Mus musculus: one gene and its partners. The protein of the gene in region 1 interacts with the protein of each later gene in a pairwise test. Links are inferred from orthologs where the notes say so. Each region holds a gene or a part of one and is shown in the gene's direction. Other genes may lie near its edges. The genes, in order: Fhl3, Sap30bp, Kirrel2, Dcdc2b, 1700007K13Rik, Theg and Slc25a46.

Region 1 (4,126 bases):
CCAGAGGAAGGGCTCACCCTCAGACTGTCTGATAGTAGGTGCCTGGCAGGGAGTGGCAGGGGGTCCAAATGAAAGCAGTGTGTGACATTCATCCCTCATTTACTGCAGGTCAAACACTGGAGTAGATACTGGGAATGCAGTAGTGAAAAAAAAAAAAAAAAAAAACCGACCCAACCTCTGCCCTCGTGGCATTTGCAATTTAAGAATCAACAACATTTAAGCAATCCTTTAACTCTGAAAGAAAACCTGGCCTAGAGGCTGTCTTAGGACCTAGCAACCAGACCCCTGATACAGAAGGGAAGGCGCCACACCAGCCTTGAAGGGTCTTAATCCCCAAAATGCTAGCAAGGCTGGATGCAGCCTTGAATTAGGGGGGGCCTCTCTGGACATCTGAATCATCCCCGAGACGCAAAGGTTATTACCAGGGTTAGTTTGTTGTCTCTTGTTTTGCAAACAGCACAACAGAGCTCCCCCACCCCCACCCCGCCCTCCAGATCAAGGCTATTTATTCCTAGTGACAAGCCTGAGGATCCCAAGGGGGGTGGCCTCAAGGACCTGGATGGGCCTCGTGTCCCTGGCAGACACTAGTCCTCCCTTCCCGGAATAGGGTAGAAGCTGGAGGATCAAAAACTGCACAAGTTCCCTCCCTTCTTAACCACCCCTGCCTGCACCAACCACTCGCACTGTTCACACACCCTCTCGAGAAACCCAAAGCCAGGGAGGCCGAGGATTAGGGTCTCCCTGAGCCTCAAAGGTCAAAACTATTCCTGGGCACTATAGAAACCTCAGTGCCAGGGCACAGTTGAGGATGGGGAGGTTGTTGCCTGTGCTTTCGCCAGTCGCTTATAGAATAAAGCCCTTTGAAATTGAGGAGGATAAAGGCTCGCTCTCTTTAGCCCAAGTTTCTAGAAAAAAAAAAAAAACCTTGATCTCCGCTGGTAAGGCAGAATCAAAACCACGCCTCCAGCCGGCTGGATTAAGGCCTCCTTCCCAAGCTAAGGTTTAGTGTAACATCTGGGGATGAGCTAGAGGGAAAAGAGGAAGGGAGGTCTGGTCTCCAGATGGACTCTAGCTAGTCCTAGGAGCTCTGCACCCCTGGCCTGAGATCGCTTCCAGCCGTCCCCCGGGGTCCGAAGGGCGCAGGAGGCGGGTTAAGCTGCAGGGGGCGAGCAAGGAGTGGTCGAGGAGGTCAGAGCACCAGGTTCGACTGGGCTGGGCTCGCCGCAGGCAGGAGGGGGCGGGGTCTGGCCCTTGCGGGCGGGTTGGGGGCCCGGGGGCGGGGTCCGGGCGGGGCGGGCCCGAGCACTTCCTCGGAGGCTTAGGGCCGCGCGCCCACTCGCCCACACAGTCAGTCGCAGCCGGCTACCTCGCCGCTGCTCTCTCGGCCCCCCTCCGCCTGGCCCACAGGTAGGAGCCGCCGGGCGATCGGCTCCCGCCCCACCCACGCCGCGCGCGCCCAGCTCCCGCGCCCGCTTCGAGGTGAGAGTCCCCCGCCCCAGCTGCGCTCGGACCAGGGTCGCTCTCTGGGCCCCTCACCCCTGTCTTCTGCTGGGGCATCCCGAATTCGGGACCCCACGCGCCTGCACGGACCCCACCGCTCCGCGCCTCCCGGCCGGGCGGGGACCGCCAGAGTTGCAAGGGGTGGGGACCAAGTTTGAACTAGAAAAGCTACAGAGATCAGCAGGGTTGGAGAAACTGAGGCTCTTAGGGAGCCTGGTAGAACAGACAAGGACGCGCGCCCCAGGAGGCTACCGGGACCACTCCAACGAGGGCAGAGAATGGCCGGATGAACTTCTCGAGGCACGGCGGGGACCCGGGTTCTGGGGAGCATTTTAAGAAGCAAATGTATGGCCCCAGGGAACTCATTGCTAGCACCCTTCCCAGGGCCTTGGAGGGCCCCGAGGCTGGAGCTTGTTAGACTAGCGCTAAATCTGCCTCCCGGAGGCCTAAAGAGACTCTCAGGTCAGAGACATAGAGACGTCGAGAGAGACCAAGACTTGGATATGAACAGGGATAGAGATCCCCAGAGTGGAGGCCCTACTGGGACACAGCTCCAGAGATACAGGAACACCTTCACCCAAACACAAAGACGGGTACTGACTAAGCTCAAGGGTACTGAGAGGTACGGAGTGGAGGCTAGAGTTCGCTGAGGAGAGACACCTAGTGTGTTCACTGACAGCTGCCCCAGGCTTGAAAGGGTGGAGGCAAGGCTAGGGGGAAATTGACTCTTAGCCAGCCCATCCCCCAGGAGGCAGAGGACCTGAGGCTGTAAAGCTGAGCTGAAGAGAGAGAGAGAGCCCCATACACACACAGCCACTAAGACAGCGCCAACTTATTTTTAAACTCAAATCTTGGACGCTCTGCTTCAGCCCTAGGGGACTCTGGGGTGAATGAAATGTCCCTCTCCTGTTCTCGGAGCAGCTGCAGGATCTGCTCCCTTCGCCCTAAACTGCTTTGACTTCCAGGCCCTGTGGGGAAGAGGGGCAGTGGAGAGTTTGGGATTGGTGCCTGGTTGGGGGGGGGCTCTAATTTCTCCCCTAAGTCTCTTGTCAAGGGGGAGGGGTCTTCTCTGAGTTACAGCTGTGGGGTCTGGCCAGGGTCCTCCTGGACTTGGGATGGGCGGGGGGGGGGGGTTGCGGGAGGCGGGGAAGGGGGATATACTAAAGGGTTGAGCAGTTGGCATGGGTAATTGGAAAGACTTCTGGGTGTCTTCCAATGGCAGGCTGGCAGCCGGGGAAGACAGCCAGCTCTAGTGTATCTCCTGTTCGCCCTCCCTCCCCCCCAAAGGATGACTGCCCCTTCCACCACTACCAAAGCATTTCTAGGCAGAGTTCCCCTCTGATGGATAGGACACTTCTGCTCCAATTGCTGAACAGCCTTGGCCATGCCCCTAGCCTGCCCCTGGTATCTTGTACTGAGCTCTAAAGGGGACCTATACTCTGTCCTTCCTTTTCGTAAGCTGAGATGCAGTGGTCGTGGGGTGTGTATTTTGTAGATGACAAGGAATCTAGCAAGTATGTGCTCCTGGGAACTAACCATCTCTAAGGTCTTTAAAGTCCCCCCCACCCCACCCTGGTATCCCACTGGCTGGGCTAGAGCTTACGATGTGTACCAGTGGTTCCCTCAGACTTCACTAAGACTCCCAAGGTCACATCCCAGGTTAACTCTTGCTTCGGGCCTACCTGAGACTACCACTGTTTGGCTCCAGTAGGAGTTGAGGGGCTTGTTGTAAAAATACAAGTGACTAGCGTTTACTTACAGTGATTAGCGTTTACTACAGACTTATTACAGAAGCTGTCATGGGGATTATCACATTTTAGCTTGACAGCTGTCCTAGGAGAGGGAGGTAGTAATAGTATCTCATTTAACTGGTTGCACCTATACTCTCAGGGAATGAAAACTGTATACCCAAGGTCACAGGATTTCAAGTCAGGTGTATTTTTTGTGACTCAAGCAAGCTGTTATCCACTGGACACCATACAGAAAGATATCCTGCCACTCAGCTCTGAGAAGTTCACTCTGTGTGTGTGTGTGTGTGTGTGTGTCTTTTTTTTTTTAATATTTATTTATTATATCTTAAGTACACTGTAGCTGACTTCAGACACACCAGAAGAGGGCATCAGATTTCATTACGGGCGATTGTGAGCCACCATGTGGTTGCTGGGATTTGAACTCAGGACCTCTGGAAGAGCAGTCAGTGCTCTTAGCTGCTGAGCCATCTCTCCAGCCCTGTGTGTGTGTGTGTGTGTGTGTGTGTGTGTGTGTGTGTGTGTGTGTGTGTCTGTCTGTCTGTCTGTCTGTCTGTCTGTCTTACTTAAGTCAGGTATGGAGATAATGTGTGTTCGTGGAAATAGCAGATTGGGGTCATTTGGAAGAGCCACTGTCTTCTCTAAACCACACCCTCCTACCCCCCCACTCCTCTACCCCTTCACCTCCCCACCCCTCCAGCCCCCTCACTCCCCCACCCCCCACCTGCTCCCAGGAATACAAACTGTCTCCTAGCTCACCCTTTTAGTCCCCCAGCCTTGCCAGGCATTGTGGGGGGAAGGGGGGTTGGGAGGAGATAGGAGACAAGTGGGCCTTGGTGCCCTTCACTCTGTCCTCATTAGAGACATAGGGACTGGGA
Region 2 (3,500 bases), on another chromosome or scaffold:
CCTCTCTGAGGAGGGTGCAGAGCAGACATGAGGAGGAGACAGGCGTCCCATCTGGAGGCTGCTGTGTTGGTAGAAGTGAGCTGGGTTTAGAGGCTTCATCTCTTTGTCATTGTTCGCAGAGCCAGTGGTTCTAGTTCCATACAGGAATATGGGACCAGTACCGAACCTGCTCATGGATTCTTCTGTTCCCTTTTCAGCATCTACGAGAAACTGATCCAGTTCTGTGCCATTGATGAGCTGGGCACCAACTACCCAAAGGTATGTCCTATACTCAGAGCCCGGAGAGCGGTGGAGCTTGCTGTAGTGAGTGTGACTGCACGCCATAGAAGGTCCACGGAGCAGCACTGCTGGAAGTCTCAGGGTCCTAACCAGTTAGAAGCCAGGAGTGGGCCCACTGCCCCTGCCACCAGCTGAGCTCATTCTCTGTTCTTAGGAGCTTCCTGGTTCTGGGCCTGGTGGTCAGGGAGCCAGCTGAAGCCCTGTGCCTTCAAAAGGGCCGGGGCCCTGCCCTAGGAAGCTCCGTGTCTGGGCCCTGTGCACTGATGGTCGCTCTGACTGCAACTTAACCTTCTCTTTCCAGGATATGTTCGATCCCCACGGCTGGTCTGAAGACTCCTACTATGAGGCATTAGGTAACCTGTTAGCTCTCTGTATCTACTCATCCACACACCCATCCGTCTGTCCATCCAGTCAGTGACTTAGGTGACCATAACTTAGGGTCTCTATGCCAGGCAGTGCCCACAGGGCTGAATTAACCTGAGCAAAGTGTGGTACAGCCGGAAACCTTTGACCTGGCCAAAGGACTGGGGAGGCCCTGTTGAGGAGACTGTTAGAGCTAAGATTTGGAGAGGCCCAGGGGCTAGAATGCTCGAGGCAGAGGACGTGTGTGTTCTAAGGCCAGTGACCACAGCTCAGAGAACTGGGAGTAATTTCAGAGCCTGAGCCTGTAAGTCCCCGTCACAAGCCAGAAGCTTGTGATCCAAGCCCTGGCTCCTTAGTGCACGTATGTGTGGCCCTTACAAGTTTTGCCTTATTTTGAGTTAGTTACCAGTATTTTTATTTACAATAAAAGTCTGCATCTGAGTTTCTTAGTAGGACGGTAGTTCCCACTGTTAAGGTCAGGAGCAGCCTACCCTTCCCTAGGATTGCGGCCCCTGTGACAGAGCCTTGGTCCAGGCCCATGGTCCATGCTGACCAGGGCCTAGCACCTGATCCTGCCAAGTGCAGAAGGTTGCTGAGCCCGTGTACACCTCTAGGCCAGTATAAAGAGTGCAAGGTCAAGGCAGTGACCTCCCCAGTCATACACTGCTCATAGCAGCCTGTCTGTCCCCACAGCCAAGGCCCAGAAGATTGAAATGGACAAATTAGAAAAGGCCAAAAAGGAGCGAACCAAAGTAAGTGATGCCCCTGGGGTGGACATGGTGTGTGGGGGAGGGATGGATGGGGGAGGGGGGCTTCTGTGGGGTGGGCTGTGGGGGGATGGTCTGGGGGTGTAGACTGTGTGGGGGTGGAGGTGCTGTGTGGGGTGGTCTGCGGGGGGTAGAATGGACTGCTGGGGGTGTGGACTGTATGTAGCGTGGACTGCTGTGGGGTGCACAGGTCCTGCTGGCAGAGTGGAAGAATCAGGCTTCCCAGGCTCCCTTCACCCTGCTCTTCATTGTCTAGTGAGGCTTTGAGCCGCCTTGGCCATGGCCTCTGTGATGAGCAGATGGCTGTGCCCAACCCCTGACTCAGCTATAGAAATCTCCACTGCTCAGTTGTGGAAGACTCAGCGTTCCCTGCATCCTGCCCTTCCTTCCTTATCCCCCTTTGCAGAGCCCTGGTGGCTTTGTCTCTTAGAGTTCTTTGATGCCTCCCCAGCCTGATCAGAAGTTGGTCTTCCTTCTGAGAGTCCCACATAAGCTGCCACGTTGGACACCAAGCGCCACTTATGTAGCAGTGTCATCAGAGGGACTCTTTCAGGAGCTTCAGATCCCCAGACTGTTAGCTGGACATCAGGACACCTCCTCCTCCTGTGTGTAGGGCTGAATTCCTCCCAGCAGCTGTGACCCACAAGATACTCCCTCTCCTGCAGGCTGCGGGCTGCAAGGCCGGGTGTGCTGCTGGCCCTCTCTGAGGGCTTTGTAGCCAAGAATGTGGGAGGGGTGGGAGGGAAGAAGCTAGGTTTCTTGTCCTTTTTAAAAATTTACGTATGTATTTTATGTATATGAGTGCTCTATTTGCATGTATGCCTGTGTGACAAAAGAGGGCAGTCAGATCTCATTATAGATGGTTGTGAGCCACCATGTGGGTGCTGGGACTGAACTCTGGAAAAGAACCGGTGCTCTTAACCATTGAGCTGTCTCTCCAGCCCCAAGTTTCTCATTCTTAACCGTTAAGCGAATCTCCTCCCTTCTTGCTCTTTCCTCCTCCCTCCAAACCCCAGCTTTATTGAAGGTCTGGAGACCACACCTGTCCTTGTCCTGTGCAGTAGTATCACTTCCTCCGGGTGTGAGGAGGAGGAGAGGCCTGGCACCTGGCTTAGGGGGACAGTGGGCAGGGGTGCCAGGTATTGCAGTAACTTGTGCTGCTGGGAGGGATCCCACATCTGTTGGGAAAGTTCTTGCAAGAGTGATGAAAGCCCCTCAGGCATCTCCCCCTCTCCCCGGTGCTCCCAGCCAAGATGGGTTTCAGGGCCTCTTGTGTGTAATGCCAAACTCCTGTGCCCTGGGAGCAGACAGACGGACAACACAGGAAATGGACACGCGCCTCTGCAGTGGTCTCATTGTCCTCTCTCCCCTCCAGATTGAGTTTGTAACGGGCACCAAGAAAGGCACCACGACCAATGCCACGGCCACCAGCACCAGTACTGCCAGCACAGCTGTCGCAGGTACAGGCTGCTCGTCCCGTCCCCTGCACTGCCTCGGGGCCTCCGGGTAGAGCAGGGCGTTCCTGGGTCTGTCTAGAGAGGGTCTGTGCCAAGCTCGCTCCCCTCTGGGGTCCTGGACCTAAGCCTGCCTCTGGGTCCTGTTGGTTGGTGCTGATCTTGACCCATCTCTTGTGTCACCTCTAGATGCCCAGAAGAGGAAGAGCAAGTGGGACTCTGCCATCCCCGTGACGACAATAGCACAGCCCACCATCCTCACCACCACAGCCACCCTGCCAGCAGTGGTCACTGTCACCACTAGTGCCAGTGGCTCCAAGACCACCGTCATCTCTGCTGTGGGCACCATCGTGAAGAAGGCCAAGCAGTGACCAGAGGATGCCCCAGGACTGGCAGTGACCAGAGGATACCCCAGGCCTGGCAGGACTACAGTCCAGTAGCTTCCACCCACTGGGAGGTGCCACTCTGTGTGTTTAGGACTGAGATGCACTCCCCACATGCCTTCCAAGAGGAGCCTCTGTGACATTCCAGCCGGAAGGACATTACAGCAGAGGCAATGGTGTGCACTGGACAGGGTTTGTCCAGACACCTCTTGGGTTTCACCCAATTAAAAGTACTGCTTCTTGGATCCTGGCAT
Region 3 (3,500 bases), on another chromosome or scaffold:
GCCCACTGTACACACCCCATCTGCTCCCTACAGGCTAGCTGCCCACACTGTATACACACCATCTGCTCCCTACAGACTTGCTGCCCACTGTACACACCCCATCTGCTCCCTATAGACTTGCTGCCTACTGTCCGGATTGTGGCTGGTGCAGCATCTGCAGCCACCTCTCTCCTTATGGTCATCACTGGAGTGGTCCTCTGCTGCTGGCGCCATGGCAAGTATCAGTGCCTTGAACTTGCCTCAGTCCCAACCCTACTCCTCTCCATCCCCTGTCCAGGCCCATCCCCTTGATTGACACCCTTGACTGACAGCCTTGGGACCTGGCTCCAATTCCTGGCTCCCAATGCTTGCATGGGCTCATCTTATCCCTAGTCCTGCTCAGTTTCCTCAGGGTCACCCCAGCTCCGTCCCATCTCTCCCAGGCTGGAGTTCTCCATGGTTCCCAACCTTTGTAGCACACTTTGTTCAGTTAGCTCTGTTTTACGTACTGGTCACTTCCCCCTTACCAATGAATGCCTCTCACGTCCTGGGCCTCAGGCTCTCTCTCTAAGCAAAAGAACTTGGTCCGGATCCCAGGAAGCAGCGAGGGTTCCAGTTCACGTGGCCCTGAGGAGGAGACAGGCAGCAGTGAGGACCGGGTAAGATTCTGGGCCTCCACATTCCCAATGTACTCCCAGACCAACATAATAACCCAGTCCAACCCACCCTCAAACTCAAGTATGGCCCTAGGCTTTTTGTTGTTGTTTGAATCAGGGTTTTTCTATGTAGCCCTGGCTGTTCTGGAACTAGCTATGTAGACCAGGCTGGCTTCCAAATTAGATATCCTCCTGCCACTGCTTCCTGAGTGCTGAGAGTAAAGGCATGTACCATTATAACCAGCTTGGCCCCAGTCTTAAACATGATGACCCCAGATCCACAGTATCCTCACAATTGCAAGTGTGTTTCTCCACAGTTATCCTTGTGGCTCAATGTGCTCTCACAGCCTTCCTTGTTGTTAAGTCTAGCCTTCAGCTCTCTTCTCTAAGAAGGCCATGAAAGACTAGGAACTGGCAGAGGGATAGATCAGATGATCTTCTGACCATGGCTTATCACTATACCCCACCCCCATTCCAGGGTCCCATTGTGCACACCGACCACAGTGATTTGGTTCTTGAGGAAAAAGAGGCTCTGGAGACAAAGGTGAGTGTTGGGGGAGGAGCTCACTCCCAGAACAGCTCTATGGAGACAGGGTCTCCCTGTAGCTGGCTTTGGACGCTGCACAGTCTTTCTCCTGAAGCCAGCCACTGGATTGCTGCGGTTGCAAGCTTCAGACCTGAACACATTTGGCAGCTTCTCTGCTTCTCTTCTCCTTTTAACTCCATCACCTTAAGACCTTTGCCGGGCGGTGGTGGGACAGGCCTTTGCAGAGGCAAGAGGATCTTTGAGTGACAGGCCAACCTGGTCTACAGAGTGAGTTTCAGGACAGCCAGGCTACTCAGAGAGACCCTGTCTCAATAAAGATAAATTAATAAACAAACTAACAAATAATATATAATATAATATAATATAATATAATATAATATAATATAATATAATAAAACTGAATCAAAAGGGCAAACAAGTGAGGGAGAGATGGGTCATCAGGTAAAGGCATTTGCCAAGCTTTATGACCTGAGTTGATTATGATATGGTGGAAGGACAGCCAGGGATACACAGAGAAGCCTTGTCATTAGCCTCCCTCACCCCCCCCCCCCAAAAAGACCTGCCTTTAACTGCACTCTCACCTCCTGGGCCAGCTCACCAGCTGCAACATCAGCTTCTGTTGTTGATTCATTTTGCCTTGGATTCTTCTTTCCCCATCTGCCATGTTTTATGCCTCTAAGTCTCTCTTTGTTCAGCTGCTACCTTCCAGACATCCTTTCACGATGTCCCACCCTACCCTCAAAGACATCCCTACTTTGGAATTCTGTCTTAGGACAGACACATTGATTTCAGCCCTGGTTCCCATTCTAAACCCCCCCCCCCCCCCGTCCTGACTTTTCCTTCGGACAGACTCTCGAGCATCCCAGGAGGGCCTCAAATGGAGTCTGTAGCCAGGATTGATCATAAGCTCCTGGCTGTCCTCCCAAGTGCTGGGATTAAAGGCTTGTGCCTCCACATTGACTCTGTGTAGTACTGGGAATCAAACCAAGGGCCTTGAGCAAGCTAGACAAGTGCTCTACTGACCGAATTACATCCCTAATCCTAGCTAAAACTTTCTTGTCTATACTTAAGTGTGTTTTTCTCTTGACCTGAAAGCCACTCTTCCTTTCGCCCTCCCTCCCTCCCTCCCTCCCTCCCTCTCCCATCCTCATCTTCCTTCCTCCCCAATTTCAGTCTGACCTCACTTGTTCTAGGAAGCCAGCACCACGCCACCATCTCCATGCTGGTCTATAGCTCTCTGTCTGTGAGTCTCTGGCTCTGCTCTTTGGCTTTCTGCCTCCATGCCTATCTCTAGATCTAGCTGTAGCTCTGTGTGTCTTTCCACCCATGATCCTTACCTCTCTACACACATTCCTTACCAAGTCTCATTTGTTCCTCAGGATCCAACCAACGGTTACTACAGGGTTCGAGGGGTCAGTGTGAGCCTTAGCCTTGGGGAAGCTCCTGGAGGAGGCCTCTTCTTGCCACCGCCCTCTCCGATCGGTCTCCCAGGGACTCCTACTTACTATGACTTCAAGCCACATCTGGACTTAGTCCCTCCCTGCAGACTGTACAGAGCGAGGGCAGGTTATCTTACCACCCCCCATCCCCGTGCCTTCACCAGCTACATGAAACCCACATCCTTTGGACCCCCAGAATTGAGCTCTGGAACTCCCCCCTTCCCGTATGCTACCTTGTCTCCACCCAGCCACCAGCGTCTCCAGACTCATGTGTGAATCCATCTCTCCAAGTGAAGGGTCTTGGAATCTTCTGTTTGCCATATAGTGTGTTGTCCAGATTTCTGGGGAGTCAGAACAAGTTGATGACCAACCCCTCCAAAACTGAACATTGAAGGAGGGAAAGATCATTACAAGCATCAGGACTGTTGGTGTACACTCAGTTCAGCCAAAGTGGATTCTCCAAGTGGGAGCAATATGGCCGCTTTCCCATGAGAAAGACATTCAAGATGGTGACTAAATGACTAAATACTTTGCAGAGGGACAAAGATGGGAACTAGGGATATGGATGGAAGTAGTAGAGAAGATATATGACCATCTGCATCAAGAGAAAGGATAACATAAGACAAATCAAGATGAAAGAAATAATCCACACCCCCCCCCCCACCGCGTCCTGGCCAATAAGTATAGCCTACATGGCTGTTCATTATCTGGGAACCAAAATGGCCACTATCTTGACTCCTTCCTTAAAGATACAGAAAGAATTGAATCCAAGGAATGGGGTAGGGTGGAAATAGAAGAAATGAAGGGGACTCTTGGGCTAAGAATACTTATGTTTAATAATAAAAGGGGGAGGCAAAGACGCAAATGTGCTTGTGAAAG
Region 4 (4,003 bases), about 4.9 Mb from region 1:
CTATCCTGGGGGTGGTGGGAAAAAGAGAAATGGGCTTTGGACAGATTTGTGATCAAGGAAAACCATTCATCCTAGGCCAGGTCCAAGGATGAAGCCACAGGTGAGCACTAGGATAAAGCAAGGCCATGGGAAACTGTTGCTTTGAACTTATAATGAGCTTGTAGAACGAAGCACTGCTTTGAACTGACTATCAACATCCTTCTGTAACTCCATTTGTGTAAACTTTTTACCTGTGGGTAATTTTATAAAGAACTTTTGTCTAAGAAGGTATAAAAAAGCTGAGAAAAAAGTGTGGCTGCTGGGGCTCTGCTCCACCCAACAAATATAAATATATATATTATGTATAAACATATATGTACAAATATATGTATATATATGTACATGCATATGTGTATGTATATAAGTATTCATGTGCACTTGTGAAATTGACGAAACAGGTGGTCAGGCCCAGCCAGATTGTGTGTGTGCGTGTATGTGTGTGTATTTGTGTATGTGTGTGTAGATGTGCATGACCTTTCTATCTTTTCTTTCTGACCAGCCTCTTAAGAGGTCTGAGTTTCATGCTGGGCATTCTTGCCAGCCCCAGATATTTAAGTTTTGTTCCATCAGCAGAGCTGACCTGTAAATTGCCAACCACTGTCATCGAGGCCTCTATGGCTGCTATTAGCGATGACCCCACCCCAATCCGCACCCCATACTTTGATGCTTTCCTCAGTTACCTGAATGTCAGACCAGGCTTTAGAAAGTTCTTAGCCCTTCTTCTTTTATCTCCTGCCTCTGATCAGGACAGATTCTGGGCTGTCTGGGTCACCTCCCACTGACCTGGACCATCATCCCCAGAACCAGCGAGCAGGGCTGCCAAGAAGTCAGCCATCCTCCTTGGGTAACAGGCTCCAGGCTAATTGCCCTCTGTCTCAGCTGTTCAAAGGAGCCCAAGCCCTGGAGAAGATGGACATCTCCCTCTCACAGGGCCCGAGGTCTTCCTTTCATCCTGTGATCAGACCACCCTGGACAAGGGCTGGGGTTTGATCCCAACTTTGCAAAACAAAAAAGTGATCACGCCAACCTGCTCCTGAGGCCCTGAGGTCAGGGAAATGCTCCCATGCAAGGGGCTCACAGCCTTCCTGGATAAGAGGGCAGGACTCTACCTTTGGCACAACTCCCAGCCCACTCTTAGTTCCTTGGCAACAGCTCTGTGTCTGTGAGTGAGGATATACAATGGCAGCCAAGAGGATATTGGTGTATCGAAATGGGGATGCCTTCTTCCCAGGCCACCAGCTGGTGGTGACCCAACGCCGCTACCCCACCATGGAGGCTTTGCTTTATGAGGTGACATCAGCTGTGCAAGCCCCGCTGGCTGTACGTGTCCTCTACACACTTAGTGATGGCCACCCTGTTACCAACTTGGCTGACCTACAGAACGGAGGACAGTATGTGGCTGCTGGCTTTGAACGATTCCACAAGATCCAGTGAGTGGGTTGGGGCTGGCTAAAGTGCCTGTAGAGAGTGGTGGGAATAATAGTGTATCTAGTACTTCAAGTCAGCAGGCTTAGTTTTTCCAAAGCCTGGGGAGAGACTGCACTACCAGAGTGCAGAATCACACTGAGAAACTAGCCAGAGGCTATGTAGACAAATAAATTGAGCTGGAACTCAGATTAAGTTCTGTTACTAAGGTGTATGTCCATCACAGCCAGGACAAACCTGTGGGGACAATTCTGCAAGTTGGACATCTTTCTGAAGGGTGTTTTTTGTTTAGTAATTACATTTTTTTAAGCTAGGCAGTAGGTGGCACATACCTTTTATCTTAGCATTCAGGAGGCAGAAGTAGTTGGATCTTTGATTTGGAGGCTATCCTGATCTATAGAGTGCATTCCAAGACAGCTAGGGCTACACAGAGAAACTCTCTCATAAACCCCTCCCCCCAAAATCTGTTTTAAGGCAGGGTCTCATTGTATAGCCTTGGTTGGCTTGGAACTTCCTCTGTAGACCAAGCTGGCCTGCAACTCCCTGCCTCTGCTTTCCGAGTGCTGAATCAACTCATCCTCTGGAAAAGCAAGCAGTAAGTACTCTTAACTGCTTAGCTCTCTCCAGCCTCGCGCACGCGCACGTGTGTGTGTGTGTATGCGTACTAATATTCATTATGGTTTGTGCACAGGTCAGGACACCTTGCCAGAGTCAGTTCTTTTCTTCCTCCATGTAGGCCCTAAGGTGGTCAGGCTTGGCAACAAAATAGCTTTGTGTCTGCAGCCCTGAGCTGCTGCTGCAATCCCCACCATCACCAGACACTAAATGTGCCTACCACTTAGCATCTGAAACTCCTGTTAGATTAGGGTCATCTCTGCAAGATGAGACTGTGCAAGATGAGACTGTCTTCCTTAGCAGGAGAACAGTGAGATCAGAGCTTCCAACTCAGCCTGAGCCTCCACGTCTGCTCTGAGAGCTCAGTGGAGGAGTTTACTATAGGGAAGGAACAAGGTGTCTGGACTCAGTCACTTCCTGTGTAATCTTGAAAAAGTCGCTTCTTTGACTATTATACAAAAAAAAAAAAGTCACCTCATGCATGACTGGGGAATTTCTGGACTAAAGTAAGATACTTCATGCTTGCCTTTGGCCTCCAACCGTGGTGTACCTAAAGTCCACCTGAATTTACAGCCTTACTCGGTACTCAGAGACCCTAAGTCAGGCTCAGATATCTACATTCCTGGTTCAAAAAGAGAGTGCTCGGGCTGGTGAGATGGCTCAGTGATTAAGAGCACCGTTTGTTTTTCTGAAGGTCCTGAGTTCAAATCCCAGCAACCACATGGTGGATCTGTAATGAGATCTGATGCCCTCTTCTGGCACATCTAAAGACAGCTACAGTGTACTTATGTATAATAATAATTCTTTCTTTAAAAAAAAAGAAAGTGCTCCAGTGAGGAGGGATGCTTAGGATGCTGGGAAGCTACTGGAAGATTGCCTCACCCTGCAGAGGACAGTCCCAGCCTAAGGGAGAGTCAGATGTTTAGCTGTACCAGGAAGAAGTATGAAGAGATGACTGTTTGCTGTGGCGGGTGGGCAGGAGGTCAAATGAAAGAATCTGGAGGCAGGCTAATAACTACTGTAGGCCCATAATCCTCGCACATGGTACACAGAGGTAGGAGGGTCCGAAGTTGAAGATCATCTTCCACTACACTCAGAGTAGAGGCTAACCTGGGGAAATTCCACCCTCCCATCTCAGTCTCACTTTCTAACTCTGGCTAGCCTGGATCTCACTAGGTAGATCAGGCGGCTCTCAAGCTCAGAGATCCCCCTGCCACTGCCTCTGGAGTGCTAGGACTGTTTTTGTTTTGAGACAGGTTCTTATCTATATAACCTTGGCTGTCCTAATTCTCACTCCATAGACCAGGCTGCCCTTGAACACAAAGATCCACCTGCCTCTGCCTCCCAGATCTGAGGTTAAAGGTGTGTGCCACCAATGCCTAGTCAAAGGAGTGCTAGAATTAAAGGCATATGCCACCATACCCATTGCAAAGTTGTCAAGGGAAAGGTCAGCCTGCAGAATAGACTCCGCAGAGCAGCCATGATGATGATAGAGTCTTGGCTTTGATGGGTATAAACCTGGATGGCAAAGGTTTACACTTTCTTAAGGTGACCTAGGACCTATCTGTCCTTTCAGCTATTTGCCTCCTGGAATGAAACACCCAGGTGGAAAGACTAGGCAACAACATGTAAGTCTGGGGGGCCACTGTCTGTAGCCTCTCTCGTCCCATCCCTGGGACTGCTCGAATTTTGAACAGGGTTCTGGAAGCAGCAAGAGTTGTGATTTCAGGGGGCACATCACACTCACTCTAGAACCTGCTGCTGTCCTGGGTTGTGGGACTTGAGGACACTATCCCTGGCTCAGTCCCAGTCTTTTACGTAATCTCCAGGCCATGGTCCCCAAAGGAATAAGTAAATGGTAAGACACAAGGGCAGAAGACAGGAGTTATGTGACCCAGGAAGCACAGATGCTCCTGTCAGAAAG
Region 5 (4,010 bases), on another chromosome or scaffold:
TATGAATACACTGTGACTATCTTCAGACACACCAGAAGAGGGCATCAGATCCCATTACAGATGGTCGTGAGCCACCATGTGGTTGCTGGAAATTGAACTCAGGACCTGTGGAAGAGCAGTCAGTGCTCTTAACTGCTGAGTCGTCGCTCCAGCATGCATTTTTTTTATTTTTTAACATTTGTTTTAGTTTTACTTATTTTTTGCCTACATGTATGTATGTGTACCTTGTGAGTGCCTTGTCCCTGTGGAGAGCAGGTGTCTGACCTCCAGGAACTAGAGTTAAAAGTGTTTATGAGTCACCTTGTAGGCTCTGGGAGTTGAATCCAGGTTCCCTACAAGAGCAATGAATGCCCTAAATTGCTGAGCCATCTCTCCATCCCCAAATTACATTAAACTATGACGACAACAACGATGACATTGACAATGATGACGACGACGATGACAGCAACAACAACAACAACAATCTCCCTGACTGGCCAGACATTCATAGAGATCTGACTGCCTCTGTCCCCTGGGTGTTGGAATTATTGGTGCACACCACCACACTGTGCCCTAAGTAATTTTTTATTGTTTGTTTTAAAATTACTATTTATTTTTATTATTGTTGTTAAGACAGGGTTTCACTATATACTCCTGACTGGTCTAGTACTCTCTTTTTAAATCAGGCTGGCCTCGAACTCAGAGATCTGCCTCCTGGCATTGCGCTAGCACGTCATTAATGCTGAACTATGTGCATGGTTCACAAGATCATTTTTTATATTTCACCAATATATGGCCTAGGATTCCCTAAATTTAGCAGCACCTCACATCTAGATTTAGGCTGAGTTGTGGGGGTATTGGGTGATAGAGGCCATGGCCAGGACAGTAAACGACAGACTTGTACTTGCTCAGGCAGAGATTGGAAGCACCTAATTCCTGCCTATTGGCTGGTGAAATCCCAGGTTCTAAGGTTTCATTCGTCCAGGATCTGCCTCCTAGTGCATTTTGGGACGATACAAGGATGTTCCCACAGTCCCAGAAAAAGGTCAGCGGATCTCCCTGAGGAGCAGCGTGTGGAAGCTTGGAATTCCTTGTTTAGAACTTACGGTCTCCTTTGTTATTCGCCCTCGGGAAGATTCTAGACTTGCCTACAGCTAGCTGCTAGCCAAAGCAACCTACAAAAGACCGCCCCACCTCCTGATCAGGTGACTTCATTGCCTAGCAACAGGACGCCTTGCCGCAGCAGGCACAGACTTGATCTGGGCTAGTTTCCTGCGGGAGGCCAAATGTCTGAAGAAAAACCTCAACAGTCCGCGGAGGAGCCGGAGCCGGGGGAGCCCAAGGCTAAGCCCGCCCCAGAGGAGCCGGAGCCGGGGGAGCCCAAGGCTAAGCCTGCCCCAGAGGAGCCGGAGCCGGGGGAGCCCAAGGCTAAGCCTGCCCCAGAGAAGACCAGCGACTACTACCGCATTAGCGAGAAGCTCCCAGTCAGGTTCAACAACCCGGGGTGGTTTCATGGCTACGGGTAAGGAAGACTGAGGTTACCTTCTTCATGCAGCAGGGCGGCCCTAGCTTTGGCCATGTGTTTGAGAACTCTCAAGTGGCTGTGGCTACTGAGGTCAAAAGGAGCCAGTCATGAACCTTTATTTGTGTCATCATTACTGTTAGGGTCCTGCTGTCTGAGCAACCACAGAGTGAACGTGTGTGAATATAGCCTTGTTGCAGGCAGGGGATGTCTCTATTTTTAAAGCTTCCCTGAAAGCTGTACACCTTACAGGGCAGCCTGGTTTTCGGGGAAGTAAGGATGGAAACCTTCTTGACTTGTGTGAAGCTGGTGCAGGCACACTCCCTTTCCACGAGTAAGAAGACAACTTGCTGAGGCCTCGGGTGTGAAGAAGAGCGGCTGGTAGCCTCTATCACAGGCCACAGTCTCACAAACTAGATTTCTTACCTCCTTCCCTCCTGACAGGAGCTTGGCCTCTGTAAGGTTGGGGCTCAAAAGCAGAGGGACTTCCAGGGTCTGGAAGTTGAGACGCTGTCTCCGAGGTAGCTTACATACCTGGCAGTGGTAGTCTGTGCCAAAGTCCCACCAAGACCCCTCCGCCAGCATTTGCTGGCTGGGTGTTCTCTAGGGTTTCCCTTTGGAAAGATCAGGGGCCATGGCCAGCAGAGGAGGCCAGAGAGAAAGGTCTGCTGGGAGAGAGTGCTCTCAGTGGGAGCCCCGTGGACATGGTATTGCCACCGTCAGGGACAATAAAGTTCCATCAATCAAATTCTTCCAGGCTATGACCTGGCTGACTTATTCTGAGTATGTGTGAGAAACAGTGCATCTCTCTCCCACAGGACCAAGGAAGCTGTTTCCATGTACAGGACCAGTAACCAAACCTACGGAAGCAGAGCCCCCACGGTGCATGAGATGCCAGTAAGTGCAAGCCAGGCCTGCCAGGACGAGGGCCATCTGGAAAAGCAGACTTATGAGGAGTCAGAGTTGGGAATCAGCGTCCCACGTTGTAAATGCATGGCACCTCAAATCGAGTTAGGACAAGGCGGGGCAGAGAGATGATAGAATGCAATTTCAAAGCAGAATAGATTGTAGACAGGAAAGTCCAAGTAAACTTGCTTCCACGTTCTCCTCCCCATCAGACAGGCACGCACACCTTTGCCCGGGCACTCGAAGGCCAATTAGTGAAGTCAAGCGTTCATACGAGTGGCAGAACTCCTCGGAAGAGCCTGTCCACGGAAAGAGTCTGTGTTCCAAAATCAGACGCAAGGTGTTTCTGTGGGAAGCAGGAACATGGGAACTGCTGCCCATACCTTCTTAAATACATTCGCCTTGTCTCTGTGTGGGGGTACGCCATGCCACACGTGGTTGGAGGTCAGAGGGCCACGTGTAAGAGCTGGTTCTCCTTTCACCAGGCTTGGTAATAAGTGCCTTTGGTCTCAAGTTAGCCAGGGCTAGTTCTGAATCAGTTCAAAGCTTTGAACTGCCTGCACCTCGAAAGTGCTGGCTTAAAAGATGTGCAGTGCCAGGGCTTTGCAGACGTTAGACGTGGTGATCTGTCCACTGAGCCACACCCCTGGTTTCTGTTCTGCCTTTGTAAAAGGCCACGGAGAAGAAGCTGCTCTTTTCAACAGTGGTGCTTTCACCCAGGTTAGCAGGTCATGGGCCACAAGCCGCGGGTATCAGAGGCAAGCTAGGGGGTAGGTATTCCGTGCTTCTTAGTCCTGTTCTCTGGGGTTGACTTGTCAGCTTTCTGACTCAGTCCACTGCACCCTGTGAGCAACTCTTAGTATTATTCTGTCAGCTACGGCACTGGTGGATATTTATTATTATGGACTGTCAGAATGCATTGACTGTGCAGAGCCAAGAGCGGGCAGGCCCCAGTGCTCAGTGCACAGCTCAGGTATTGGCCATCAGCTCCACCTGCAATACACCATGCAGACAATAGGGGGAGCTGTGTGCATTGGAATGGTATTTGGACACTTTTTTTTTTTTTTTTTTTTTTTTTTCTCAGAGACAGGAGTTCTCTGTGTAAGTAACATCCTTGGCTGTCCTTGAACTCTTTTTGTAGACCAGGCTGGCCTCAAACTCACAGAGATCCGCCTGACTCTGCCTTCCAAGTGCTGGGGTTAAAGGCATGCTCTACCACACCCGGACTTGGACACTATATTTTATGTTCAGTTTCCCAGGAGATCTCAAATTTGCCTCTTGAAAAATGCCTGAAATAATTTCTCTTTGCTTTTCCTGCCAAAGAGAGAAAACATCAGGTGATCTTGGCCCAGGGTGGTCTGAGGACAGGTAGGACACTACTACCTGGTGGAGGTTGGTCTGCACACACCACATGTCCCCCTGTCATCACTGGAGTTCCCGGACTCACAGTGGCCACACTCAGCAAGAACTGAGTGCTGCCGGGAAGTGGTGGCACATGACTTTAATCCCAGCACTTGGGAGGCAGAGGCAGGTGGATTTCTGAGTTTGAGGCCAGCCTGGTCTACAGAGTGAGTTTCAGGACAGCCAGGACTACACAGAGAAA
Region 6 (4,179 bases), on another chromosome or scaffold:
GTACCTCCGTAGTCCCTGGGGTCCGCAATGGCTCTAGTTCCACCACCTTTCATGTGTTAGCCAGGGCTCTCCAGGATATCAGAAGGGAAGGCATTTATTAGATTGGCTCTCAGGAGGATATGGGTTGCCTAGTCCAGTAGTGACTGCCTACCCTGTGCAGCAGCTGACTACCTGGCAACTGTTTAGTCTATAAGGCTGGATACCTTAGCAGTCCCAATCTGTCACTGAAGGCCTGAGGGTTCCTAGAGAACCACTGGTCTTCAGTCCACCCTGGAAAGTTGAAAAAAAATCTGGGTTCTGATATCAGTGAAGGAAGGTGGCAGCAGTGGAGGTGACAATAGAGTATACACACTCACCAGCAAGAAGCAAAGGCCAGGAGGCAACACGGCCTTCCCCTTAGACTTTACTATAGCTGAGCAGATATTGGAAAGTACTGGCCACTCTGGGGGAAGGTCTCCCTTTAATCCTTCCAGCCAGGCTGGTCTCAGATGACAGTCAAGGTTAGCCAGCACGTGTCAGAGGTTGGGTATCACCCTGCATCTGGCCCCTTAGCTGTGAGCTTTGGAAAGGTATTACTTCCTCATCGCCCTGGTCTCTGGGACTCTGCCCCTTCCACTTGCCTCCATGACCTCATCTCAATCCTACTCTTGTAAAAGCAGTGAGAGTAGAGATGGAGTCTCTCCAGCCATGGTATGGGGGTCACGGTCCTCTGTTCTATCAGCTCCCCACGTGCTCAGGCTGGAAATGGGGGTGTGTTGGCAGTGCCCTCTGTCACAGCCATCATCTCATTGTAAGATGCAAGGTGGTATATTCGGAAGGTACTTCCTTATATAATTCAGGGCAGAGTCTGCATGTGTCATAGGACCCTGAGCTGTGAGGACCTGAGAGTCAGCTACCAGAGGAAGAAGTAGAAAGCCAGAGCCATCTATGAGGGTGCTATGTTTGGAAGCTCACCTGCCATCAGATTAACAGGCCCTGTGGTCACAGAATGGCTGCTTGAGCAACAGACATTAAAGATAAGCCCAATCATAACCAGGAAGCAGAGATGTGGTTTCTTTCTTGTGGCTCTTTTAAAGGGAAAAGAAAAAATTCTGCCCAGAAATCCCTGTGGAGTCCATAAACCCACCCACTGGAGGGGCACACCCTTCTGTGAGAACTGAAGCCAGGCTCAACTCTGAAGTCCAGCACAGATGGGTCATCTCGGCACTCAGGAGGTTGAGGCCAGCCTGGGCTACATAGTGAGACCCTGTCGCCTCTTGTCTCCCACTCCAAAAGAAAGACACGAAGGGTGGAGTCCTGAGCTGTGCACCTCAGACTTAGCTCCAACACTGGGATGGAATGGGGCCTCGGAATCCATGGGTGGGCATTCTTCTGTTGCTGTGGCAACCATAGGTCCATTTGGGTGCTGAGGGAGGGAGTGAGGTTAAAGGGTTAGGAGGGGCAGTACACATGGGGGAACTTGGTGAACACCGGGCCAGTTTGCTCAGTAACCCAATCCCGGAGGTCAAGACTTTGGGAGAGTTAAAGCAGGGACAGAACAATGGCAATTTGGACCTTGAGAGCGAGCCATTTGGGAGCCATTGGTTGCAGGGCTCTAAGGCCACTACAGGGCGAACCTCAGAAGAACCAGAGGAGGAAATCCCCCCAGAGGAGATGGCTGGGGAAGAGCTCCCGGAGACCTCCAATCTGGATGGTCCTCTTCAACAAGACCTGGAGGTGGAAGTGGTTGAAATGAGGTGGGTGTTGGGGACCCAGTGGGCAGGTAGGTGCCAAGGAGGCAGATGCTAACACACCAGTCTATCCTGGACACCTTCGTTGTCCTTCCCCTTGGAGACCCCCCCACCCCCAGCTTCCCAGAGGCAAGGGACGCTACTCGTAGCTCTGTCCTCCTCCAGGTCCTCAATAAACACTAGGGAGAGAAGTGAATGTCGTGTTTATTCTCCCAACAGCCCCAGGAGGTGGGAGCTGGCTACTTCTGGTTCCGTGGGCTCAGGGCTCAGTTTCTGGACAGTGTGGGGCCTGGGTGACAGCAAACACACCCAGTGTCCACTGCTCCAGGGGCTCAGAGCTGACCGGAGGCTCCTGGTAGGGGAGCAAGACTGCTCTGTAAGCTCCAAGACACGTCAGGGTGGACCAGCAGGCCCTGATGCCACATTCTTTTGCAGCCATCTGTCCATCACTGAGCGGACTCCCAGTGTCTCCACAGCCAAGGGCAGGAAAAAGAGGAGCCGGAGGCTGCTGGAGCTGGCGAAGCCTAAGACCAACTGGCAATGTCTGAGAGACAGGTGAGGGCTGGGGCCCATGAGGTGGTGAGGTAGTAGGTGACCTAGCCTGCTGTGCTCTTCTGACACCCGGACACCAGCCCATCACCCCTGTGGCACCTTGGGCAGGACACGTAGAGAATAAATGGACTGTTGGGAGGCACCAGGCAAGGCACCAGAGGTGGGACCCTTGGGTGGTACCCAGAGGACAGTGAGGAATCTGGGAGCCAGTGGGGACCCAGAGGCAAAGGCAGGGCCTGGGACCCTGTCTCATCGCAGGACGGGGCGCTGTTGTAAGGGCTATGCCTGGATTTCCCCACGCAAGACCAACTTGCAGTTCTGCCTGTATTGGTGAGTTGGGGTGTCCCCTCCCTCTGTCACCTGTCCATGTCAGGGACATGCCAAGCTCCAAGGATACACCTGAGCTGCCTTCTCTCCAGGGACCAAGTTGCAGGGGTGGAGGGCTCTAGAGCTAGGGCTGTCCTGCCTCTGTCTTCCTGCTGTGCATTAGGCCTGCTGGGCTGTGTCTGTGTACCTGAGGGGCCCAGCTCTCCAGGCTGCACTTGGCCTTTTCATGTGCTCCATCTTGGAACATGGGCCTCACTCTAGATAATCTGTGTTTCCCCTGGTGCTCGCTGCCCTAATCCAGCCTGACCTTCTGTTCCCCCGACTGTGCTTCCTGGTTCCCCAGCCTCCTGTCCATTGTTCCAGGGCCTCAGGCTTCCCTTCCCTAGCAGAGGACAGGGCACTGGGCACAGGGCACAGGGCACCCTGCCCTGAGCTGCTCGGCTGTATTCCAGGCCTTCTGTATACTGGACCGAGCGATTTATCGAGGACACCACGTTGACCATCACGGTCCCTGGTAGGTTCTGTCTCTCTCTGGGGCAGCCTGGGTGTCCTCTGCCTGGTCCAGGGCCTGCTGGCTCTGCTCAGTATGTGGCTACCAGCCACCTTCCCAGGCCACTCTCAGGACTCCAGTCCTTTCCCACCTCTCTGAGTGGCTGGAACCCTGTGGGATTGCAGGGAGATGGGTTCAGGGTAGTCCCTAAGGCAAATCTGGGCAGGGCTAGTATTTGTATTACAGAGATCCTGCCTTCCTTCCCAAATGGGATCCATCTTCTTTGAGCATAAAGACTCCTTCAAATAAAGACCCCAACAAGAGCTCCTCTGTGGATGAGTGTAGCCAAGGATGACCTCTCTTGGGGCTCTAGTCTCATCCATGCCCTGCCCCAACCCTAGAAATCCTAGGCCAGCACCAACTTCAGACAAAAACCTAGTTTACGAGCCTCTTAGGTTTAACCATGGGGAGGAAGGAGCCAGTCTTGTCTGTTGTATTATGCCTGTGGCTGGGGACACTTTTGGCCAAGTGTCTGCCCATGTCTCTAGCCTGTGCCCTGTGCCTGGACCTGTGGAGGGCTGAGTAGAACCCTGGGGTGGAGGGTGGGTCCTGCTGGGGCCTAGGGTAGCTGTGGTGACCAGGTCATTTCTGTCCAGTGGTGTCCCAGCGCATGGAGGAGCTTTCGAGGCCCAAGCGGTTCTACCAGGAATATTACAACAATAACAGGTAGGGGGAGGGCGGCCAGGCGCAGAACCTCTTCCTGTTTCATTCTGAGAGGGGGTTAATGTGCCCTGCTTCTGGCTGCTGAGTCTCAAGAGGTCTAGCCAATGTCCCTTAGCAGTCTGACCTCAGGGATCAAGGGGATGACACCCGCCGGTGATCTATCAGCCTGACTTTGATCAGCATGAGTGACACTGGCACTCGTGACCACAGGTTATAGAGGACGGACCTGAAGGGCATTCATGCTTTCTGAAGGGCCCCTTGGGCAAACCTTTGCTGTCTCTACTATACACTGATGGCTGAGGCAGGACCTGTGCCACCACTGTGTCTATGTGCAGCCCTGTTCTGTGTTAATGCTAT
Region 7 (3,133 bases), on another chromosome or scaffold:
AATATGGGTATGTTGTGGTCCCTGCATTGTTGATTTTTAGTGGTGGTGCTTGTGTTCACAGTATTATGTATTTTAATAATTATGACTTTGTATTTCTTTACACACTCTCCCTGCTATGCTGATTTTTCTATTCATCTTGGAATATAGCATCTTAGTTACTGTTTTATTGCTGCGAGGAAACAATATGACCAAGGCAACTTATAGAAGAAAGCCTTTAATTGAGGACTTTATTACAGTCTGAGAGGACTAGTCCATGATTCATATGGCAGGAAGCAAACAGGTCTGGCACTGGACCAATAGCTGAGAGCTTTTCATCCTGATTTGAGGGCAGCAGGCAGAGGGAGAAAAAGAGAATGAGCCCAGCCCACCCTCAGTGACACAGCTCCTCCAACAAGGCTACACATCCTAATCTTTCCTCAAAAGTTTCACCAACTGGGGGCAAAACATTCAAACATATATGTGCCTAAGGGGGTCATTCAAATCACCATATATTGATTTCTGTATTTTCTTTAGGTTTGGCTTATTGGATATCAATTTTTTGGATGTTCAGTTTATATCATAGAAAGTTTTCTTCAGTTATGACAGTTTTGCTGGGTATATTAGTATAGGTTGTCCATTATAATCTTTTAAGACTGGAAATGTGGAATGGATTGCTCCTGAGTCTTCTGGCTTTCAAAGTTCCCACTGAGTTGTTATTCTGATATAATTTTCTTTGTATGTAACTTGCTTTTTTTTTTTTTTCATGCAGCTTTCAATACACTTTCTTTGTTATACATTCTCTTAACTAATTTTCTTTTCTTCTGTATGTTTGGTATTCTGTATGCTTCTTGTATCTGTATGTGGATGTCTTTCTTTAGTTTGGGGGAAGTTTTCTTCTGTGATTTTGTTGAAGATCAGATCTATGTCTGTGACTTGTAATCTCTCTTTCATTTTTGCCTATAACTTGTAGGTTCATGGTGTTCCACATTTCTGGTATGTTCCTTCTCTGTGTTTAATTTTTTTTTTTAAATATTTTGCTTATTTGATCTAGATCCTGTGCTTTTTATCTTCAAGTCCTGATATTCTCTGTTCTATTTGATTTATTTTTTACTAATAAGAGTCTCCTAACTGCAGTTTGAGCCTTTTTCAGTGATTCTATCTCCTTATTGAATTCTGTTCTCAGGTCCTGGATTGTCTTAATCATTTCTGTCAGCTTTATGTTTGTGTTTCTTGGGCATCACTAAGGTGTTTATTCTCCTTAAGCTCTTTCTCCTCAGTTTCATTGAGTTGTTTCTTTGTGTCTTCTTTAAATTCTGAAGCCTTTGATGAATTTTATGATTATTCTTTTAAATTCTGAATCCTTGGGTTTACCTAGGTAATTTTCCTTTGCAAATATTAATATATGACCAGTAGGTTTTAGAAGATACTGGCTTGATCTTTCATATTTTGGAATTTTTGCAATGGGATCTGGTCATATAGACTTCTTTCCTTTGGTTAGTTCTAAGTCTGATATGGACTGAGTAGGTTGAGGTAAAAGCAGGGATGTCAGCACAGGTTTGTCCTAGAGGTTGTAAATGGTTTGGGTGGAAAAAGATCAGGACTCCTGTTGAAGGGACTGGGATGGTAGACAAAATGTGCTTCTTGGTCTAAGCCTGAAGTGTGGAGCTTGATGCACATGGGTGGAAAGGTTGGTCATGGCATGGAAGGGGGAATAGGTAAAAAAGAGTTGCATAGTTGGATGAGGAACCAAAGGGACTTGTAGGTGGTTGGTGGTAGAATATGTCCTGCTCATTGCTCTTTATGATATTTCTTTTGAAAAAGAATATGCTAATCTAATCTCACAGCTGAAGTTGGCAAATCATGGATGTTTTTCTTCTTTTGTGAATACATTTATCTCAAAGGGATATAATAACTATTTTCTACAGCAATTTTGTAAAAATTATTAAGTTGATGGGTCTGGAGAGAGCACTCAGTGGTAAAGAGTACTAATGACTCTTCTAGAGGACCAGGCTTCAGTTCTCATCATTTCAGTTCCAGGAAATCTCATGACCTCTTTTGGACCCTGCAGGCAGGGCACACACATGGTGCAAAGACATACATGGAGCAAAACAACCATATACATCAAACAAATAAATCTTTTTTAAAAAATATAATTGTACCTTTTTCATCACTTATGTTTCAGAGTGAGATAATCCGAGATAACACTGGCATTCTGGAATGTGTTAAAGAAGGAATTGGACGAGTGATAGGCTTGGGAGTGCCTCACAGCAAACGCCTTCTTCCACTGTTTTCATTGATCTTCCCAACAGTGCTGCATGGAGTTCTTCATTACATTATCAGCTCCATCATTCAGAAGATTGTCCTTCTAATTCTGAAGAGAAAGACCTATAACAGCCACCTAGCTGAGAGCACTAGCCCCATGCAGAATATGTTGGATGCCTATTTTCCAGAACTTATTGCGAACTTTGCTGCCAGCCTTTGTTCTGACGTTATACTTTACCCACTGGAAACAGTTCTGCATCGTCTTCATATTCAAGGAACACGCACAATTATTGACAACACAGACCTTGGCTACGAAGTACTTCCAATTAATACGCAGTATGAGGGAATGAGAGACTGTATAAATACCATAAAGCAGGAGGAAGGAGTGTTTGGTTTCTATAAAGGGTTTGGTGCTGTTATAATACAGTATACACTGCATGCAACCATCTTACAGATTACCAAAATGATTTACTCCACACTTCTTCAGAATAGCATTTGAGATTTAGGTTCTATGATTGGCTGAACCAAAAGATGTTGGATAATTTGCTATGACATTTCAAGTAATAAAAGTAAAAATACTGCGCGGAAAGAAATAGGCTGGGAATTACCACTGGTGGAAAACCTCATGCTAATTATTCTGACTTTTTATTTTTCTTAAGGCATAGATATATAGATATATAGATATATAATACTGGGTCAAACCTTTCCAAAATTGAAAACTCAATAAAGGTAATACTTTAAATTTAAAATGTAAAGTTACATTTTAGTATAACACTCATGCTGAAGTAAAATTGATCCTGGGGAGAAACAAAAAATGTATCAAGTATAAAATGAAATTGCAATGACTTGAATCTGTTTTACTGACCTTACTATTTGTTATGTTTGTTTAACT

Evidence for each region.
Region 2: the proteins of Fhl3 (region 1) and Sap30bp interact in binary tests that used the Homo sapiens proteins (3 or more experiments, as listed by UniProt). The two-hybrid records come from large-scale screens. The link is inferred for Mus musculus from reciprocal best matches to the Homo sapiens genes FHL3 and SAP30BP.
Region 3: the proteins of Fhl3 (region 1) and Kirrel2 interact in binary tests that used the Homo sapiens proteins (3 or more experiments, as listed by UniProt). The two-hybrid records come from large-scale screens. The link is inferred for Mus musculus from reciprocal best matches to the Homo sapiens genes FHL3 and KIRREL2.
Region 4: the proteins of Fhl3 (region 1) and Dcdc2b interact in binary tests that used the Homo sapiens proteins (3 or more experiments, as listed by UniProt). The two-hybrid records come from large-scale screens. The link is inferred for Mus musculus from reciprocal best matches to the Homo sapiens genes FHL3 and DCDC2B.
Region 5: the proteins of Fhl3 (region 1) and 1700007K13Rik interact in binary tests that used the Homo sapiens proteins (3 or more experiments, as listed by UniProt). The two-hybrid records come from large-scale screens. The link is inferred for Mus musculus from reciprocal best matches to the Homo sapiens genes FHL3 and PIERCE1.
Region 6: the proteins of Fhl3 (region 1) and Theg interact in binary tests that used the Homo sapiens proteins (3 or more experiments, as listed by UniProt). The two-hybrid records come from large-scale screens. The link is inferred for Mus musculus from reciprocal best matches to the Homo sapiens genes FHL3 and SPMAP2.
Region 7: the proteins of Fhl3 (region 1) and Slc25a46 interact in binary tests that used the Homo sapiens proteins (3 or more experiments, as listed by UniProt). The two-hybrid records come from large-scale screens. The link is inferred for Mus musculus from reciprocal best matches to the Homo sapiens genes FHL3 and SLC25A46.

What each region holds. Positions count from the first base shown.
Region 1 is NC_000070.6:124,699,373-124,703,498, forward strand, and holds the start of Fhl3 (four and a half LIM domains protein 3), read left to right. Parts: upstream 1-1,326; 5' UTR 1,327-1,479; intron 1,480-4,024; exon of another isoform or gene 4,025-4,126. UniProt on the Homo sapiens protein: Recruited by SOX15 to FOXK1 promoters where it acts as a transcriptional coactivator of FOXK1.
Region 2 is NC_000077.6:115,961,159-115,964,658, forward strand, and holds part of Sap30bp (SAP30-binding protein), read left to right. Parts: intron 1-197; coding exon 198-258; intron 259-580; coding exon 581-632; intron 633-1,335; coding exon 1,336-1,394; intron 1,395-2,784; coding exon 2,785-2,869; intron 2,870-3,052; coding exon 3,053-3,234; 3' UTR 3,235-3,500. UniProt on the Homo sapiens protein: Plays a role in transcriptional repression by promoting histone deacetylase activity, leading to deacetylation of histone H3.
Region 3 is NC_000073.6:30,447,516-30,451,015, reverse strand, and holds the end of Kirrel2 (kin of IRRE-like protein 2 precursor), read left to right. Parts: intron 1-115; coding exon 116-214; intron 215-506; exon of another isoform or gene 507-537; coding exon 538-638; intron 639-1,113; coding exon 1,114-1,179; intron 1,180-2,561; coding exon 2,562-2,897; 3' UTR 2,898-3,250; downstream 3,251-3,500. UniProt on the Homo sapiens protein: May regulate basal insulin secretion.
Region 4 is NC_000070.6:129,611,473-129,615,475, reverse strand, and holds the start of Dcdc2b (doublecortin domain-containing protein 2B), read left to right. Parts: upstream 1-1,203; 5' UTR 1,204-1,218; coding exon 1,219-1,469; intron 1,470-3,655; coding exon of another isoform or gene 3,656-3,707; exon of another isoform or gene 3,708-4,003.
Region 5 is NC_000068.7:28,463,525-28,467,534, reverse strand, and holds the start of 1700007K13Rik (UPF0691 protein C9orf116 homolog), read left to right. Parts: upstream 1-1,210; 5' UTR 1,211-1,265; coding exon 1,266-1,501; intron 1,502-1,521; exon of another isoform or gene 1,522-1,584; intron 1,585-2,319; coding exon 2,320-2,398; intron 2,399-4,010. UniProt on the Homo sapiens protein: Microtubule inner protein involved in the attachment of outer dynein arms (ODAs) to dynein-decorated doublet microtubules (DMTs) in cilia axoneme, which is required for motile cilia beating.
Region 6 is NC_000076.6:79,584,337-79,588,515, reverse strand, and holds the start of Theg (testicular haploid expressed gene protein), read left to right. Parts: upstream 1-1,379; 5' UTR 1,380-1,449; coding exon 1,450-1,736; intron 1,737-2,165; coding exon 2,166-2,285; intron 2,286-2,540; coding exon 2,541-2,612; intron 2,613-3,061; coding exon 3,062-3,123; intron 3,124-3,755; coding exon 3,756-3,825; intron 3,826-4,179. UniProt on the Homo sapiens protein: May be involved (but not essential) in spermatogenesis.
Region 7 is NC_000084.6:31,582,798-31,585,930, reverse strand, and holds part of Slc25a46 (solute carrier family 25 member 46), read left to right. Parts: intron 1-2,161; coding exon 2,162-2,740; 3' UTR 2,741-3,133. UniProt on the Homo sapiens protein: Transmembrane protein of the mitochondrial outer membrane that controls mitochondrial organization.